3 linked regions of the Caenorhabditis elegans genome follow. The protein of the gene in region 3 interacts with the protein of the main gene of each other region in a biochemical or structural test. Each region holds a gene or a part of one and is shown on either strand. Other genes may lie near its edges. The genes, in order: spd-5, air-1 and tpxl-1.

The links.
Region 1: the proteins of tpxl-1 (region 3) and spd-5 form a complex in vitro, tested with the Caenorhabditis elegans proteins (one study listed by BioGRID).
Region 2: of the proteins of tpxl-1 (region 3) and air-1, one has a biochemical effect on the other in vitro, tested with the Caenorhabditis elegans proteins (one study listed by BioGRID).

The regions. Positions count from the first base shown.
Region 1 is NC_003279.8:5,170,735-5,178,360, forward strand, and holds spd-5 (Spindle-defective protein 5), read right to left. Parts: upstream 5,921-7,626; 5' UTR 5,864-5,920; intron 4,803-5,863; 5' UTR 4,788-4,802; coding exon 4,736-4,787; intron 4,685-4,735; coding exon 4,497-4,684; intron 4,450-4,496; coding exon 3,352-4,449; intron 3,305-3,351; coding exon 3,223-3,304; intron 3,178-3,222; coding exon 2,780-3,177; intron 2,732-2,779; coding exon 2,518-2,731; intron 2,475-2,517; coding exon 1,589-2,474; intron 1,540-1,588; coding exon 1,289-1,539; intron 1,239-1,288; coding exon 907-1,238; intron 856-906; coding exon 760-855; 3' UTR 568-759; downstream 1-567. Other genes in the region: Condensin-2 complex subunit hcp-6, read left to right, coding at 27-370, 415-567; npp-6 (NUP160 middle TPR domain-containing protein), read left to right, coding at 6,102-6,183, 6,238-6,542, 6,591-6,716, 6,767-7,410, 7,469-7,626. UniProt on the Caenorhabditis elegans protein: Plays a central role in centrosome maturation and mitotic spindle assembly during the first division of the zygote. Required for the centrosomal localization of air-1 and zyg-9. Probably not required in late embryogenesis and during larval development.
Region 2 is NC_003283.11:8,219,726-8,224,198, reverse strand, and holds air-1 (Aurora kinase), read right to left. Parts: upstream 2,712-4,473; 5' UTR 2,699-2,711; coding exon 2,648-2,698; intron 2,604-2,647; coding exon 2,542-2,603; intron 2,497-2,541; coding exon 2,311-2,496; intron 2,258-2,310; coding exon 2,114-2,257; intron 2,070-2,113; coding exon 1,961-2,069; intron 1,919-1,960; exon of another isoform or gene 1,750-1,918; intron 1,686-1,749; coding exon 1,458-1,685; intron 1,421-1,457; exon of another isoform or gene 1,226-1,420; intron 1,162-1,225; coding exon 961-1,161; 3' UTR 617-960; downstream 1-616. Other genes in the region: cogc-6 (Conserved oligomeric Golgi complex subunit 6), read left to right, coding at 2,995-3,084, 3,133-3,273, 3,320-3,833, 3,880-4,115, 4,164-4,473.
Region 3 is NC_003279.8:2,298,278-2,305,899, reverse strand, and holds the start of tpxl-1 (TPX2 domain-containing protein), read left to right. Parts: upstream 1-1,506; 5' UTR 1,507-1,507; coding exon 1,508-1,652; intron 1,653-1,700; coding exon 1,701-2,740; intron 2,741-2,786; coding exon 2,787-2,873; intron 2,874-2,925; coding exon 2,926-3,074; coding exon of another isoform or gene 3,075-3,102; exon of another isoform or gene 3,103-3,266; coding exon of another isoform or gene 3,267-5,180; intron 5,181-5,333; coding exon of another isoform or gene 5,334-5,435; intron 5,436-5,730; coding exon of another isoform or gene 5,731-5,787; exon of another isoform or gene 5,788-5,814; intron 5,815-7,622. Other genes in the region: icp-1 (Inner centromere protein ARK-binding domain-containing protein), read left to right, coding at 1-269, 321-1,001, 1,056-1,184; epg-2 (Ectopic P granules protein 2), read right to left, coding at 3,267-5,180, 5,334-5,435, 5,731-5,787.

The sequences.
Region 1 (7,626 bases), 2.9 Mb from region 3:
GTTTTAAATAATTTATTTTCTTGAAGAATCCCCGGAAAAGGAAGTCAATATTTCGGCCAACGTCACTTTGCGTCGTAGTCGTCGGGGTCAGTCAACAGAGCCACCAGTCGTGAAAGAGAATTCTAATCGAAAACGGAAATCTGTTGACGAGGAAGAGGAAAATGTGCCAACAAGTTCATCTGGTAACACTGAAAATGATCCACTGTCACGCGGAGTGACTCCGTTGATTTTCGATGAAAGTAAGCTTGGTGCAGGACGTCATTGTTCAACTCCGATTCGATCACGAGAAGACGCAGATCCAAGCGATGTCACATTCTCCCTTAATTTGTCGGCTATTACCGAAAAGGAAGACTTGAAAAACAGAAGTAAGGTATTCACAATTTCTTGAATTTACAAAACGCCTTAATTTTACAGAAAGTCAAGCTTATCACCTTCACAATATCTTCGAAGAGGATGAAGAGGAAAGCTGATCAATGTCATTGTATAAATCTTCCATCGAAATTTGTCTTATTTATCTCAACTGTTTGTATTATTGTAAGATTGTCCGCTGTTTTTTCATTAAATTAATCTGTTCCTTTTATTATCTGTAATGGGATTGCAGTCAACTACCAGAAAAGAAGCATTTAATTCACAAGTACATTGATAGATGCATTAGGTGTATCTTTAGGCTGGGAAAACAATACAATCGTTACAAGTTAATCTTGTCGAGATGATAGTGTTGATAAAACTGGTTCCATTTTAATACATTAACAGATCAGTTCACTTTTTGCGAATTTCCTTCACAGCTCCTCCCATATCAGTTGCGATTTTGCCAATTTCCGTTTTGATTCTGTCTTGAAATTCGACACCAAGTGTCTGAAAATGATATTTTTCAAAATAGATTTCAATAGAAAAAGAATTTCATACCGGGATGGCGGATTTTGTCAGTTTCAGTTCCTTTTTGTACTTCTTGATTTGCTCCTCAAGCATCAAGTTATCCTGATGCAATTGTCCGAGATCTGTGATCAGTTGATCGACGGTCTCGTTCTTCCAATTGGACATATCGATTCCTTTGAATAGAATGAGCTTCTGATGGAGGAAATCGCGAAGAACTCTGGATTCATTGATGACGTTGCCAATCGTCTCCTTAAGCTCTGGACCCATTCCTGACATATTGTGAGTCTTCTTGAGTTTCTGAACAATTGCGTCGACAGCCATAGTTGATTCGTGGAGCAATTGTCGAGTAGGGCTCGTGTAATCTGGAGAATTGGTGAAAATTCAACTTCTGATGTGCATAAGTATGACTTACGAGGTTGAGCACACTTTTGATTCGATGTTTTAGTAGGCATGCCACTGACCGATGTTCCAACTGGTGGGACATTCTCGTTATTAGAGCTCATCATTTTCAGCTCATGTTCGAGAGCATCTTTCTCTAATTGAAGCTTTTCAATTTTTTCATTGACGTCTCTCATAACTTTCGCGTATTCATGCTGTTGCTCTCGTTCCCTGGAAAGACGACGACAGAGTTCATCGCAAACGAGTTGAATCGATGAGATGTTGCTGAAAATGTTCTCAAATAAAAAAAAACAAGCACGACGTTTGATAATACCTTGGGATAATCTTGGCTTTCAAAGTCTTCTTGGTTAGCTCAGATATCTCCTTACTGATACGTTCCAATCCTACAATAGCGGCATTCTCAAAATCTTCGCGATACTTCGCCAACTCAATTTCCTTCTTTCTTTCTGTCATCTTCGTAGAACAATAGTCGGCCGCAATTTCTGAAGTCGACAACTTCTCCATCTCAGTCTCCAAATGAACAATTCTTTCAAGCATTTCAGATTTCTCGGATGAAGCATGTTCAACTTTATTTTCCGCCTCTTTTGTTCTCATTCTCCACCCATTCAATTCTTCACTCAACTCATCTGCTAGATTTTGGGATTTTTTTTCTTCCTCCAGCGCGGTAGATAACTCGCTTTTCAAGAATTCATCGCTCTTCTTTGCTTCATTCAATCGCATCCCCATATCAGTAATGGTTTTCTTGAGCTCATTTTCCTCATGTTTTAGAGAACTGATGAGCTGACGAGCCTCTTCCAATGCATTTTCAGCTTTGACACGAGTCTCCTGTTCACCATCCACACGAGCCAACGCTTCATTGAGCTCGCATCGCACTTCTCCAAGCTTAGAATTAACTTGATGGAGATTGGCTTCGAGTTCAGCAAATTGACTTTTCAATGTAGAATTTTCCTCTTTAGCCTTTTGTAGCGTTGCTTCAGATACTTCGAGATCTTCAAACATGCGATTGGTGTTGATCTGCACATCCGACAATCTTCCAGACGAACCGTTCAATGGAGATCTCATATCTCGTGTACGAGCCATCTCCAATTCATTTTTCAACTCCGATACCTCATTCTGAAGCTTTTCCACTATGTCTGAATTGCTTGTAAACTTGAAGAGTGGACTATACGAGGCATTGAGAAGAGAAGATGAGGCGACATCTGGAAAATATTGATTTATGAGCGTCTCTAAAATTTATATTACCTTCAGCATCGGGTGCAATAGTGAATCTTCTCGAAGCTTCCGCAGCCTGACTAACTATCGACTTCTCGAGAATTGAGAAATTGAGTGACATATTATGAAGATCCTTCTCCGCTGCTTCCAAGATGGCAGATACATTGAGCTTGTCGTTAATACTTGTTTCAAATGCGAGCTTCATTTTCTTGATCTTATCCGCATTTGGATCACTGGATCCCATCTACAAAAAACTCAGATTTACAGATTCACAACTTGACAGTTTTCATACCCTTTCAAGAATCTCTTCAAAAAGAGCAGCAGAAGATTTAAGTCTTTCGAAAAGTCGAGCAAGAGCCTCTCTGATCTGGGACATTTTCTCTTGCATTTGCTCAACATTTACAGCTACATCATGCTGGCCTTCAAGGAACATTGCAGAAGAATCCAGAATTTGTTGCATATCGTGCAGAATTGGAATGTGACTTTGTGACACGTGAGGAGAAGCAGTCTTCGTAGAAAACGAATTATTCTGTATTTGTTCGCCAGCTCCCTCGGATTGATGGCTCTTCAGGTGAAGATGAAGTGATTTTGGTTTCTGCATTACAATCGGAGAATTCTTGAAAGACTTCTGACTGAGGAACGATTGAGTTGCATCTCTACCAGGTGGTGGCATTGACGAATTGAAGGAACCTAACAATAATCAATTTCAAAAAATCTAGGAATCAATTTTACTACCTTCAAGGGTGTCATTATGGTTGTTCTGCAGGCTGTCTTTCACTGACTCGAAATCTTCCCACATGGAGGCAAATTGTTGCTGCTAAATATTCAAGACTTTATTTTAAATAATAATTTTCATACACTTACATTTCGAACAGCAGATGATGTATCCATGAGCGGCAATTTGCTTTCTTCAAGATCATCTAATTGACTTTCTCTGGGAAGAATGCGCATCGATGTTCCGCCAGTCTCATTTCCTTGTCCAATGCTATCGACATCATTAGTCGCAATACCAGCCATCAGTCGACTTTGTCCCAGTGAAATGCTAAGATTTCCATCGCCTCCGGTCAATTGATCACAACGAATGCGGAGTTCTCGATTTTCAGCTCTCAACACATTCAATTCACCGTTCACCTTTCCTATTTGGATTTTAAGCTCGTCGGATGTCTGACCACCAAGCAACATGGAAGAAGAATCAAATGTCGAATTTTTAACCATGGTTCGAATCTCGTGCTCAAGCTTGCTACACTTGTTCATGTATTCAACGAGTGCCTGACGAGCCTTATCATTTTCCTTCTTCGCATCAGCTAACTTCGTTTCAAGATCATCAATGTAATTGAGCTGGTCTCGCGTCTGTGATTCACGACCGTTCCCGATCATGAACGTTGAATTTGGAACCATAGCGTTTCCAGCAGCTCCGAGGATTCCTTGTCCAGTGGCCGCTTCAAGCTGAGCGCGAACATTTTCTGAATCGGCAAGCCTTGCAGATTGGTCGTCAAGTTCTTGACGGAGCTGCTGAATGTGATCTTCCAGCTCAGCTACCTTGTCGATCTCAGAGAGGAGCTTTGCCTCCAGGTCGTTGATCTTTCTTTCTTCATAACCAGAGGTTAATGTGAAATCTGGATCGTTTTTCTTCAGAATGTCATCAAGAGTTCCACGAAAAGATCCGACAGTTGTGTTGTTTGCATCAGTAGCGGACAATTCCAGTTCCTTGATTCTTTCCTCCATTGCATGCTTTTGTGCCTCAAATTCTTTCATCTGTCTGGCAAAATTGTCTTCGGAAGTTTCAATTCTCGATTGCATTGCTAGCAAATCCTCTTCCATCAGTTTGTATTGCTCCATTTTCTCTTGAACATTTTCTTGGCCTAATTTGAGATCGACATAATCGTCCATAACTTCCTTAACTCTCTTCTGCGACGCTTCCTTTGCCTCACTATACCGGCGCTGATACATTTGCAGTTCTCCCTACAAACTCAAATCATTTCTAAATAAGCATATGATAAATTACTTACTCTCAGGATAGTTATTTTTGTTTTAAGCGCTTTGTTTTCTTCCCATGTTTGGATGATGGGGATGCTACGAACATCAGCAGACGAAAATGCTCCTGACAATACTTGCTGTTGAGTGGCACTGGTCGAAGACGTTCTTTTGTCTCCTTCAACATTCAGAACTGGTTGCGACATAGATCTTCGTGGCTGGCCTAAAAAACCTTTGCATTTATGCAGTTATTGATTTTAAATGTTATAATTACCCTCGACATGCTCGAGATTGGAGTCCTCGTTGAGCACAGAATTATCCTCCATTTAACGCGAAGTTTTCTGAAACAAGAAACGGGTTCGAAAACAAAATTGAGCGTTTTTTTGGGATTAAGAGTTTTGAGTCAAAATGAACAGGAGGTTGCAAAATTTGAAGCTTCAGCACCGTTCTTTGGGCGTGCATAATCATGAAAAACAAGTGCGGACCAACTTTTGTTACTATGGAAACGTAAGAATTTCGCGGACGCGGAGAAAATTCAAAATTCACGTTTAGGCGCGCGTTTTTCTGAGGCCCCACGAAAAGGGGAGCAGAACGAAAAGGGGATCTGCAAAAAGGGGAGATACGAAAAGGGGAGCAACGAAAAGGGGAGCTGGCACTGTGCCAAACGCACAAAACGCAATTTTTCTCACGCAACGCACGTTGATTTTTGAAATTTTCTTCTAGAAGATACGCTTAACAACACGCGACGCGTAACATCGGAGCCGATGCACCATGTTTCGGATCGGTATAGGTTCAAAAGTGGTAGAATTATATAATTTATTACTGATAAATCCGTTAAATGATAAAAATGAGAAAGCTCATATATTTAACATGCGACCTGCCGGTCCAAGAGTAAAACGAAGAAGTGACGATTTCCTTGCGTGGTGTCGACGTGTTGGGGTTTGATGTGCATGTGTGGTAGTACTGTAACACGCGTGACGTGTGTGTCTTTTGGCGCGGCTTTCAAACAGGAGTTTCCCGGCTTTGTCATTGTTGATGACTCAGTATTCTGCGTATTCGCGACAATCGTTGTATCGTTTTCTTCGAGAAAAATAGCGTTTGGCACAGTGCCAGATCCCCTTTTCGTTGCTCCCCTTTTCGTATCTCCCCTTTTCGTATCTCCCCTTTTCGCAGATCCCCTTTTTGCAGATCCCCTTTTCGTGGGGCCTCGTTTTTCTTGACAGAGAAAAAGTGTGCGCATGTTGCGAAATACCATGCGGCGGTATTGCTCATGCAGCCACGCCCCTTATTTTTGAATTCGAATGGAGCTCCATATGGAGGCGTTTTCGGCTCAATTCATCATTGTTTTGTAAAATTTTACATCGCAAAGTGTCAAAATATGAAGCTTATTGTAAAAACTCACAAATTTCTAACAAGTTTTTCTTTGAATCCAATGAGAACCTTCTCGATAAGTGATTAAAATTTAAAGTGAATTGTTTTCTTCCATTTTTTCACGTATAAAAAAACGTATAAAAAACAAGTAAAACAAGTTCACGCCAATGAAAAATTGTTTTTAACGATATTTAAATATTTTTGAACGTGTTTATTTCATCTCCATATTTCTCTTTTGCTTTAACATCGTGTTTTATGCTTAATTTCAGATGGAGCTGGTTTACGGGTCGGAAATCAGCTTCACGGATGGATTTGCTATAAAGCCGGCTAGAACTTTTGTGGTAAACACCAGTAAGTTTCAATTTCATTAAATAATTGTTTCTACAACAAATTTCACTTTTTTAGATGCGCCGCTTCATTCGAATGGATTTGATGTGCAACCGTCCGCAGGAGTTGCAACATTTCCGCACTGCTCAAATTACGGCGATCGGATTTTCCTGTGGCGTGCGATTGGCCAGAAACTGTTCATTGAGGAGCGTTCTTTGCTCTACTCAATCACGGATGGATCGTTGTGCATTGACTTCACACGCACACCTATTATTCCTGGAACATCGATAACAATTTTCGAGGAAGGGGTTTTATGTATTGTCGTTCCCACAGCTTCTGCAATTCATCGTTTCTACGCGAGACTCCACTCCAAAGGCCATGATGTTTGTTCTCAAAAATTTCCATAATCGAATGAGAATAATTATTTTCAGACGTTCTCAATTCTTGCAAGAATTAAAGAAGATGACGATTTCCGCCGATTCAGAACATCTCACTCCCTTTCAACACCAGGGCGCCCGATTCGTGCAAGTGTTACACATCATCCTTCAAGAAATACGGTATAAAAATGGAAATTGATTACAACCTATATTTCGAATTTTGAATTCAGATTTCTTACTGTACCGCTGAAGGGCAGTTGGTCATTGTCACATTGGGATCATACACGGAATCCAGTGATAAACACGAAGAATTCACAATGGGAGAAGTTGGTCTTCTGGGAAAACTTCTAGGTGGCACTGATAAACGAGTCAGTGATGCATGTGTTATGAAGAATCTTCGCCCGACTTCTGGAGTCACGAGAGAGCGAAAAATTTCAGTCCAATCCGATATTGTGTTCGCTGTTACCAGAGACGGATGGGTGCAAGCATGGAATGTTGAGACGAAAAAACAATTGCCAAGCACTATTGACTTGAATAACTACTTTGCTTCAGACGGAAAATCTTTGAATCGAGATCTAGAATCTGCAGACTTCGAGGAAGAAAAGTCTCCAATGGAACCAACTGAAACTGTATATTCTATCAGAGCTTATTCATTCGATGTGGATATTCTTCTGATTGTTGGATGTGATTTGGCAGTTTCGGGAAAAAGCGTCGGGATGAGAGTTCATATTCTCAAAGTTTCAAATGATCAAATTCAACATCTACAAATGTTCGAAACATCGATGTCCGTTGATGAACGACTTGTTGATCTCGAGCTTATTCAAAACTATTTCCCATCAAAGGAATCGGAAAGTCTTGATGAGACACAAGATGGGTAAGAATCGTTGTTATAAAATGGGTTTTTTTCTTGTCTAAATATAAAATTGTTTCAGGGAATTGTATAATCCTCTCACAGCTGCACTATTTTCACTTTCTGCTCTTTTCAAAAGTTCATCTGCAAAGAAAACCTATTCGATGAAACGGATCTCATTTGCTATCCAATGGAAAAAGGGACGAGTTTTCACAGATTTCGATTGGCATTCCGTTCGTC
Region 2 (4,473 bases), on a different chromosome or scaffold from region 3:
ACCAGATGGTAACGACCAGTTATTCGCGCAAATATTAAACATTTTTGTGCATTATTCTAGTATCTAATTGATCAGTTCATTTCAAGGATTACAGTTATTATTAAACATTAGAAAGAAATGTTTATATTGTATTTTCACGAAATGCTGAGATATCAGTTAAAAGGCACACGATGTTTTCCTGAGTGGGTCTCGGCACGAACTCAGTCATAGTGAGGTTCCAAAATTTACAGATTTTTTCATTTGATATGGAAAATGTACTATACGAATTTTGAAATTCTGAAATGTACAGAAAAAACTAGAATTTTTCATGTAGCACATAGCACCTAGCTAGGATAAAGTTTTTGCGAATGTACGATATTTAAGGCTCTCTGCCAGATACCACTTAACGTTGTTAAACCTCCGCTTTATGTTTCAAACTTTAGCTGTTCCAAAAAACGTTCCCACTCCTACCAATGTAGTGTTAACTCGTTATAATGTTTGCATACCATGCTACTTTTTTGGCGGAACAAAACAGTGCCAAAAAAGGCGGCAGCCTTCTACTTACCGCCACCACTGTTTGAGTTTTGGCTTTTAGCAGAAAGCATTGTATTTCTTCTGAGAACCAATGAACAAAGAGGTGCACCATCGTTTATGTGATAATCGAGACACTTGGATGCGAAATTTGGGAAAAAATTAATGGGGCAGACGGGAACACACGATACAGTACTTTCACGGGAATCTAATGATTTTACACACACACAAATAAAGAATAATTGATTTAGATAAATTTAAATCCTTCTCGTTGTCAGTGTGAGAAGAAACAAAAGGATGAAAACGGATAAATTGCTTAAATGGATTAGCGAAAATAAGAAGTTAGTAGCCGTATGATATACGGTTCTAAAGAAGGGAAAGTGCAGATGATAATTGTTTGGAAAGACAAGTAGAAAAGGTTGAGACTTTAATGGACAATAGACAGAGCTTTTATTGATTGGCTGTAGAATTATTGCGACTGGATTTCGTGAGCGTCGAAATGAAGAGTGGAACTTCAATGTCTTCGCGTTGCTTCATTTCCTTAATCCACGGATGAGCCATGATGTCAACAAGTGGGAGACGTTCTTGGGGTTCCTTTTTGATTATTGCATTTATCAAACTGGCAGCTCCGTCAGTCACAACACTTGGAATCTGCAAAAAAGAAGCAATTTAGATGAAACTACTTGGGAAACAAAATGGAAATGAATGTTTGAGAACTGTCCCGAGGAGAAAAGGAACCATATTGCATTAAAAGCAAACCGGCACACGCATCTCGAGCTAGACTTCTATTGCAGTTCTTTGAAGCTTCTCACAGATGAAACCGTGAGAGGCAGGAGATATATGACATGAAAAGATGAAATGGTTACCCAAACCATCACTTCATGCACATATTTCTGTTGGAGAACTGCTTATTAAGATTCTAACAAATTTAGTTCATAATTACTAACATAAATCTTGCACTCCTTGATTCTGGCGATCAATTTATCACCAGTTTGATTGGCGAACGGAGCATATCCAACAAGCATTTCGAAGAGAAGAATTCCAATTGCCCAAATGTCAACATTAAAGTCATGTGGCTGATTGGAAACCATTTCCGGAGCAAGATAATCCATGGTACCGCACAATGTATGGCGTTTCGAGTGATCAGCAACGACGGACCATCCGAAATCGGCAAGCTGAAATACAAGTCTTATTTTTTAGAAAGAATGCATAAAATGTGTTGAATTTAATTTTTACGGTAATTGTCCCGAGGAGAAAAGGAACCAGATCGCATTAAAAGCAGAACGGCACACGCATCTCGAGCTAAGCTTTTATTGCAATGTTACTGTGTGATCAGAGTATAAACTCTTTTTCAGCTAGTGACTTCTTTCGGCTCGGAGAACCAAAGGATGCACTGAGAACATTGCAGAAGACTTTTTGAGTACTTAGTTAACCATATTTATACGCGTACCTTCAGATTGAGCTTCGAATCAAGAAGAAGATTTTCAGGCTTAATGTCTCTGTGAATAACTCCTTTCGAATGGCAGTAATGCAACGCATTGGCCAGCTGTCGCACAAATCTGAGGAAATTTACTATATTTCTGAAATATCTACAAAATCACACCTTCCGGCAATGACCTCATTCACTTTGTGTCCAGGTTGTGATTGGAGGACATTAAATAATTCTCCTCTGCTGGCATAGTCGAGAATGACGAACACACGCTTGTCATCGTGAAAGTATCCATAAAGAGTGAGAATATTCGGATGACTGAAATAATATTGATTAATTGATTTGGATGAGATGACTTCGAGAAAACATACCGCAAATGATATTGAATTTCGATCTCTCTCTTCAACTGATGACTGACTCCAAGTTGAAGCAACTGTGTTTTGAAGAGTACTTTCAAAGCTATGATTCGCTTGGTCTTTTTTTCACGAGAGATGAAAACGTTTCCAAACTTTCCTTTTCCGAGAGGCCGTCCAACGTCAAAATCATCAAGACTCCAGCTAAAGTCCATTACATTGTAAAAGTAATAAATCAATTATTCTCACCATGATTCTTCCCTTGCCTGGTCAACTCTCTGAGGTCTGCTATCTTCCGTAAGTGAAATAACCTGAAGATTAGAATTGATGCCTTTCTAATTTTAATAACAATTACCTCGGCCTTCTGATCGTCTATCACAGGAGCAGTATTTTCCTTTCCGCTCATGATTAATGTAATTCTGCGAGTTGAAATATTATAATAAAATTGAGGAATAAAAAATTTAATGAGAAAGGAAAAAGAAAATCGCGACTAATTCAAGAACACGTCAAAAATTAGAACAAAGGCAGTCACTTTGAATGAATTTTGCTTGGCGGGTTGTTGAGCGGCATTGCTAAACAACACGCGCTCTGTTATTTCGGAGTGTCGTTGCTGACACGTTGCGAATAAATCAATTCTGCATTTTCTATTCCACTGAGTTCTGCGATTTTTTTCGCAGAATTCGGTGAATTTGAATCAATAAAATGTCAGTAATCGATAAAACTTCATCAGCAGTCAATCCTTTACGAGAAAAAGTGACTACTGCATGTGCAAAGAAGCTGTATAATGACAAGGTCAGCTAAAATATTAATTACAAACGAAACTTATGGCATTTCTTACAGGATTGCATCAAAATTGCTGATTTCATCACTCCACTGGTCGAAGATATGAACCTTGATTCAAATGTTGATAGGAAACTACACAATAAACTAGAACGATACGAGTTGAGACTAAACAAGGAATATTTGAGCGAGTTCGAAAAAGTTAGAATAAACCTGAAATCATTTCATTTTAAATCTGCTATTTCAGATAAATAACATTGTGCAAAAATTCGATGAGCTCTGTGTAAAAATGAACTCCACATGCACGAATTTATCAAAGCAAATGGAGACTGTAAAGTTCAAAAGTGTTGATTTGGTGCAGAAAACAGCAAGCTTGAAGGAGAAGAAAGCGAGTATAGAAAGCCGTTGTAATATGATAAATGAATTTCTCGAAAACTATTCTTTATCAAGTGAAGAGCTTCGAGAATTAGACGAATGTGAACAAAGTGGTCATCTATCGGAATTTTTCTTCAAAGTTCTTGAGAGGTGCCACGAAATTCGCGAGAACTGCAGAAATATGGTTCAGGAGCAAGGACATCTTGCCGCTTTTGAAGTGATGGAAAAAATGCAAAAAATTGACGAAAGAAGCCATGCAATTATCTGTAACAATCTGAAACGCGAATTTCAAAATCTGACAGTTGATTCTCATCAGAAAAAGCAAATTCTTTCTAAAGCTTTCAAAATCATAAGTCAGAATGATGCTGTATTCCAGCTTGCCATTGGTACGTTTAGTTCTTCAAATCTACTCACCATTAACCTAGTTTTCAGACCAATACATTTCATCTCGCTCACAAGAATTGCTCAATCAGTTTGTTGAAATTAACAAAATGGCTGTCCAAATGCCTGAAGGGTTGGCAGAACCACTGAAGGCAGTTGGAGATATGCTGACTTCGATTCACGAGCTCACGGAGCAAGAAAAACAGTTGTTCAGCTCAATTTGTTCCGCAGAAAATCTTCCGATCGTTCTTGATGAATGCCTGAAATCTTTGACTTCGCCGTTCAAGGTAAAAAGTTTAAATTATTGGACTATAATATATGATAATAGTTTACAGATTAGGGTAGAGCAACTGCTGTCGACAGAAAAAAATGCCATCACAATTTTCAAAATGGGAAATATTTTAATTTTCTATGCAAACAAGTTCGAGACTTTGATTCGAAAAGATAGTTATTTTACAATAATGCTCGCAGATCTCGTCAAAACAGTTCGTCAAGTATGTATTGCCGGTATAAATCATCACGTGGACGGACTTATGAGAAAGATGACATCACCACACTATGATCTCCTTCCAGTCCCAGAAGTTCGGCAATGCCTTTCACTTTATCACGGGCTTATTTCAATTGCTGTAAAAACAGGAGATTTGA
Region 3 (7,622 bases):
TTCGTCAGGAAAAGCTCGACCAGTTGAAGCAAAAGGAAGAGCGTAATGCTAATTTGGCGAAACTTCACAACAGTGCAAAGTCGCCAACAAGAGCTCGTTTGATGCAAGACCATGCTCCAAACAAGGCTGCAAGTAGAAAAATCTTCCCAACGGCGGAAAGCACATCCACTCCTGGTCGAGGCCCTGCTAAGAAGGGAAAAGTTGAGATTCTAATTGGCTCAGATGGACAGAAGACTGCTCCTGTGGCTCAGCCGACCGTTGAACTATCGGTGAGTATTTACTTGATTGTATTTTCCTAATAATAATTTAACTCATTTCAGCCTTCCCGAGAATTGCAACGAAACGGTAGCCGGCAAGTCAAAATGGAGCCGATGAGCTGTGATGATTCAACTCCACCGGCGCGTCAACATAAACCAAAGGCGAAAGCGACGAAACGATCGGCCCACGCAGCTTCGTCTTCTACATCAAATGTTGAAGCTGCTGCCGCACTTGCCGCTCTTCAGGAACAGCAACGTATTCAGCTGGAACAGGAGCAGTATCTGCTACAGTTAGCAGAAGATGAACGACGAAAGCGGGAGCAGAAGGAAATGAAAGAGAAAGCGGAGAAGGAGCGTCAACTCAGAGCTCGAGAAGAGCAGGAGCATTTTCTGGCCGTTCAGAGAGAAGAGCAAGCTCAGCTGGAGAAGCAAAGAGAGCGAGAAGAGGCAGAGCTCCAGGCAACACTCGCAAGATGCGCGGAGAAACAAGCTCGTCAGGAAGCTCTTCGAAAAACGCCACCACCTGCAGCCTACGAAATGACTCCGCCACGTACCTATCAAAACAACTCAAAGAATGACTATGGTTTGAACGATCTTAACAGTGATGACGAGACAGATCAAGAAGATGATCCACGCAAAGATGTCCCGGCTTGGGCCGAATTCGCAGTTGTCCGTGAGAATGTCAGAAGACATGCCATTAATCCACCATTCGACGTGGCTCAATTCTTCGGATCGATTGGAAAGGTAATTGTTTTTTTTTTCTTGCAGCTCCTTCAGTAAAAATTTAAAAATTTTCAGCCAAATCTAAAGGAAATCTTTAGTGATGCTGTCAAAGTCAAGAAGCGCGGATCGTCAGCAGTGTGGAAAAAGAGTCCATCAACGTTAAACACGTCGTCTCGCACAATTCTTCAAGACATTTCGGAATGATGTTGTACCGAAGCAGCTTACATCGCCAGGAGTCGCTCCAGCATGCGACATAATCTTTTTTCAAAAATTGTAAAATGTTTTTATATTTCGTATTGAGTTATTTTTTATTTTCAATGTTTCCCCCTTTTTAACGGAGAATACAAAAACTCCATCGGCCCTAACTTTACATTAAATTTTTTTTTCGCTGTAAATAATAATTCTTCAGCCGATTTTTATTTTATTGTTCACTCATTGATTAACGTGTTCTGAATTCACGAGTTTATTTATTTATTTATTTTTCTATCAGTTAGAATTCAAATTATCATTTATTTCTTTCTTATAGGATGAGCAAAAGTCAAACCATTCAGGAATTCGATGAGAATTTCTTCAGCAGCTTTGCTGTACCGAAAGTCAAGGACTATTCGAGATTATCGAGCTCGCCGAGCAGAGACCAGCCGTGTGAGACGTCATACTTCGAAAATCACTTTCGTAAGACTATTCAAATATTATTTTTCATAATAAAGTTTTAATTTCCAGCAAGCCTGGAATGCGACACGCCGGTCAAAATGCAACTTCCCAAGACGAAGCGGGAATCCGATGATGATCTCCCATCTCCAACTATCGATAATCTTCTTTCGTCTTCATCGGAATCCACTGTAATCAACGCAAGTCAAAATGACAACACAGAAGAGAAGCAGCAGCAACCAATCAGAGAACCACTCAAAATCGTGCCAAACGAGGACGCATCAGCTTCAGGAAGCGGTGGAGAAAATCAGCTAATCGAGGGACTTGAGAAATTGTCAATGTTTGCACCAAAAGCTCCAGAGGAACGTCTTTCGCAGCGTCGCCGTTCAGAGCAGAGAAAGAAAGAAGAGGAAGATAAGAGGACATCCGTCATTGCTCCAGCGTCCGGAACTCGTTCTCGCTCGATCAGCACGAAACGTTCAATGTCGCGTGAGCCAGCTGCAGCAGCTCCACGAGCACCATCTGTGCCACGTCCACCTCACAATTCTGTCACTCGCACCATCTCCGCGCCAATTGCAAATACCGGACCAGGTGTCATTACTCGTGCGATGGCTGCTCGTGTCGCTGAAAATGTCACCAAAACAAGTGTTCGTCGAAGTGTTATGCCTCTCAAAGTGGCTCAGAAAACGCCGGTTGCCGCAGTAAAATCGGATGCTGCTACTGCAGGAGGTGACAGATCCCGTGACCGTACACGCCGTACCAATACAACGGCTTCTCGTCGAAGTGTTTTCCCCAATAAGCCTGCTGCTGCTGCAGCAAACACCACTCCAATTGCTCCACCGCGGCGTTCGGCATCGGCGAACAAGGCAACAGCGCCGACGTCGGTGAGCAAATTGACGCCGAAGATTCGTCCGATTGCAACAGCCAATCGCTCATCGATTCTTCGAATGAATGTTGTGAAGCCAACTGTTCCGGCTCCGGCTCCTGCTGATGCTCAACAGAATAAAGCGGCTTCACGTCCTGCTGTTCCAGCTGGTGGAGCAGCTCGTAACCGGCAGCCGCTTCGAGTCAACCCGGGAACTCCGAGCACAACGATCAAGAAACCACCAGTGGTAATTTAAAAAATTTGCCTAATTGTTTAATAAATCGAATTTCCAGGCTTCATCCGTACAACGCCAGCCGCCGACTCGAGCTCGGTCAGTGGACCGTTCTGGCCAACCTCCAATTTCGGCTTCCACTCCAGGGGTACATTTGTGCAACGTTTTTTTTTCTATATATATATTTTTTGAATTTACAGAAAGCCTCCCGTGCTGACCTTTTCAACAGACTTGCCACACCAAAGGTTACTGCTACGCCAACGAGGACTTCACACGAGGGCCCAGCGTCGAGTATCCGAAAATCTGCTGTGCGCCCTGTGCCATCATATGTGTACAGCTCCTACAAAGGGTATGAGAAGAAACGATGGATTTATTGAACTCAAAATTCTTCAAAAAAGGAAAAATTGATTATTTAAACAGAAAAAATTGTAATAACAAATTGAGAACAATTTAGGCGGGCATGAAAGACAAAAACAATTTGCAATGTACAGTAAAGTGTGCAATTTAGAAACAAAAACGAACAAGAAATTAATCAAAATTGTTATTCTTCGTCGACCATCTCCCATTCAGCCTTCTCTTCCGATTCCGTTGATGCTTTCGGCTCCTCGTCGAGTTCTTCAACTCCCAAATTATCCACCAACTTCTTATGAGCATCATTCAACTGAACAATCTCTGCATCGTGAATTCTCTTCGTTTCGATTGCAAGTTCTGTGTGCTCGCGAATGGTTTCCTGGAGTTTGTCAATTGTGGTACGATCCGAGATTCCTTGAGATGTCAGAACGCGACAATGATTGCCAAGAACATTGTATTGCTGTTTCATTGATACCATTGCAGCTTGGAATTCGTTAATCTCGGCATTTTTCTCATCTGTTTCCTTCTTAAACTGGGCTTGAGTAACCTCATTGATCTTTTTTAGCTGCTCGATTTCAATAGTGGCGTAATGGAGACGTTGTTGGATTCCGGATTTCGCATCTTCCAAGAGTGCTACTTCAAGTTTGTGATGTTCAGTCAAATTTCCAATTTCTTTCTGAGCATTAGCTCGAGACACTCTGAGTGCAATACATTCTTCAGAAACGAGAGTCATTTTGCTTTCTAAAGCCAAATGTGCGGTTCTGAGATCATCTTCGGAGCTCAAAAGCAAACTGCACTGGTCTCTCAAGCTTTGATGAGCAGCATTGGATTGCTCTAGTTCGTTTCGTACCGTCAAAATCTCATTGGCGTGCTTCTTCTTCCCAGATTCCAGAGCCATTTGTCCTTTGATCAACTCCTGATTAATTGCCAACATATGATTGTACTTCATATTATCAATTTGCTTGGCGTACTGTTGATGCACAGCAACCATTTTTGCATCCATCTCACTCTGCATCTGGCCTTTTTCGATGTCCCGCTCCTGAATTGTTGTGCTCAATTGTTCGCGGAGACATTCACATGTGCGATTGACATCTTCTTTCTCCTCCTTCAAAATTTTGAAGTCCTCCTTCAGATCGTAATTCTCCATTCTGAGCTCCATCAGTTCGGTTTCAGACTCACGGAGCAACTCAATCGTGTCACTGTGCTCGCTGGAAAACGCAGCAGCTTTATCACTGCCAAGTTTGAGTTGTTCTTCAAGATGAGCAATGACTGCTTCATCCTGTTCGTGTTCGTCCTTTCTGAACTGTAAGCATTCACCGAGTCTTGCAATTTCATCTTCCAACTTATCGCGAAGATCTTTGTTGAAACTGGTCACCGCTTCTGTAACTTCAGCTTTTTCCTTCATTGCCAAACGAGTAGAGCCAAGTTCCAGGCGAACATCGGACAACTCGTTGAGCAAAGCTCTAATTCGGTCAGTCAATTGCAATCGTTCAGAGTCAAAGTAGTCATTTTGACTCTTCAACTTTGTAATTTCAACTTCAAATTCATTCTGCTTGACCTTCCAGTTTTCCTTCATTTGATGGATCTGCTTCAAGGTGTCTTCTCTTCCATACATCAGATCATTCAATGCAGATGTGAACTCCTTTGTCTGCAATTCCAGTTGAAGCGAAATCTCGTCTTTCCGCTCAACAATATCTTTCATGGCAATATCTTTTTCACAAACTTCACGTTCCAGCGTCTCAATGCGGCTCTCGTGCTCTTCGTTTTCCGTTTGGGTTTTCTCGAGCTCCTCGTTACAGTTATCCAATGCAAACTGGGCACATTGCCGAATCGATTCCAACTCGTGACAATCTTTTTGAAGTTTTGTATTCTCATCTGAGATCCGCGTAAGAGCTTCTTGAAATTTTTTCGAGTCGCTCAACCAGATCTTTCTGAGCTCCTCTTTCATCTCTTTCAATTCCAAGTTTTCGGCCACAAGATCTCGGTTCAAAATTTTGAGATTGTTTTCTTCGGAGGTCGTTTCTTGAGCGGACGATGCTTTTTCTTCGGCTTCGTCAAGCATGATCTCCAATAATGTGGAGTAGGTCTTGGCTTCCACGTTTTCCTGAAAAATAATAGGTTTATAGCTTGAAAAATTGCAATTTACTAATTAATTAAGTTCCATTAATTCTATTATTAGTTATATTAAGTTAATTAATTTCATTAATTGAATTGATTTTCTCAATTCTCTAAATAGTGAATTGAATAAGTTGCTCACCTTTCTGAGAAGCACAACTTCGTCCTTCAACAACTGGTGTTCTTCTTTTTCCTCAGCCAGCATTTTGTCCAAGTTTTGAAGTGAGTCTTCAGCCAATTCGATCTAAAATATAAACACTTGTTCATGGCACATTCAACTATTTTCAAAACTCCAGAATTCATTGAAAACACGTGGTGTCAGAGTGTCTCATTTCGGCTTGATCTACATAAATCTACAAAAAAATGCGGGAGAAGAGACACAGAGTTCTCAACTGATTTCGCATGGTTAAGAACATATTTTTGTGCAAAAAATTCCCGCGTTTTTTGTAGATCAAACCGTGATGAGACAGACTCTGGCACCACGTGTGAAAATGGATTTTTTGTGTCTCAACAGAATCTAGAACAGCTCAAATACTTACCGGCTCTTGATCCTCTGCTGACGATGAAAAAACTGTGACAGTTCTGTTGGCACTCATTCTTTTGAAAGCTGTTGAAATTGAGATCTGCAAAAAATATCGATTATTGAGAGATGTGTTACACACACAAAAATTAATAGTGAGACGAATGACAAGGTCACCATAAAAAATATTCGAAGAAGGAGAAAGAAAGCTTGCGAGGCTGTGAGAGGAAAACGGCGATCAGGTAGAATATATAATTCAGTTGTTAGGCATTGTGTGGTAGTAGCTAATGACTGAGAATTGAATGAAGAACCCGAGAAGAGAGGAATGAATAATATGAAAGAGAGTGAAAAAGAGAGAGAGAGAGAGAGACGAGAGATATGGGTGGTCTCGGGGAGTGAAAGAGGGAGAAATGGCAACGGTTTGGATAGCTCGACGAGAGCAAAAGAGACAGCCTCTGCATAATGCTCTGCGCTCTCTTGCTCTCTGCATATTGGCAGCGTCTAGCCACCGAGAGATGGGCCACGGTAAAAAGCGAGAGAGAGAGAATGGTCCGACTGATGTAATGTACAGGCCAAGGTTACAATGTGGATAGTTGTGGAGGACTGCGCGTTTGGTTAGATGCGCCACTAGGGCGGGGCTGCTCTGTGTTTGCTCTCTGGAAATAGCGTTGTGTGAGCAGAAGAGGGAGATTTGGGAAAGTCGGGGTCACGTTAAGGGTCAGAAGATGATGTTAAGATTGGGGAAGGGGTGAACAGGTGAAGTGGAAATAGTATTGAATGACTTTTTGGTGGTCTTTGATGTCGAGAAAACAATGGATATATATGACAATCTGGAAGATTTAGAGCATTACATTACAGAAATTCAAATTTTAAAGGTGGTGTAGTCGAATTTTTTTATTGTCTTATTAGACTCGATATTCTCTCAAAACACCGAGTTTCACAATGAAACTTCTTGAAAACTTTTCAGAAAAAAGTTATGACGGCTCTAAAAATGGCCTAAAATTAGTTAAAATCGGAAATTTGACCGACTTGTCAATGTCGCAGTGGCTGGAAATAATTTTTTTTGATATTACCGCCAAATTTTGAGTATACAAGTCGATTACCTCGCGTTTTAAACGAGTATTTAAAAATCGATGGACGGCGAGTTTTGGTTAAAAAAATTAAAAATCAAAGATTTTTTAATACCTTAATCAAGTTTAAAACGTAAGATAATTAACTTGTATACTCAAAATTTGGCGGTGATTTCAAAAAAAAATTGTTTCCAGCTGCTGCGACATTGATAAGTTGGTCAAATTTCCGATTTTAACTAATTTTAGGCCATTTTTTGAGCCGTCATAACTTTTTTCTGAAAAGTTTTCAAGAAGTTTCATTATGAAATTCGGTGTTTTCAGACAATTATGAGCCTGATAAAGCAATAAAAAAAATTCGACTACACCACCCTTAAAAGTGGGAAGTTAGGAAAAGTTATAGGATTTCGAGCTAATAAGGAATGTAATCAGTAGTTTTGTAGGGCAAAATTAGGTGCCTACAAGGCAGGCATAATATGCCTCGAAGATGCCTATCGATAGGCGATGAAACATTTATCTGACTACATGAAAACCTAGAATTGTAAAATTATTTTTGTTGTCTTAAAATGATAAAAATATAGTCTAAAATGACTGGCTGGAGTAGATAAGATTCTTCGATTTTTTTCATAGAAAGTTTTTTAAAAATCTATAGAGATGTAATGATAAAATTCAATTTTTCATCAAGTTTTGTTACTAATGACGGAAGAAAAATATCAGAAAACAACATCTTTTCTAAAAAAAAATGGCTAAAACTTGAGCCATTTTTGCAAAAAATGCTATTTTTCTGAAAATCGAAAACGAAAACACAATTCCGACAAATTTCCGGTTCGCCGATTTCCCGAAA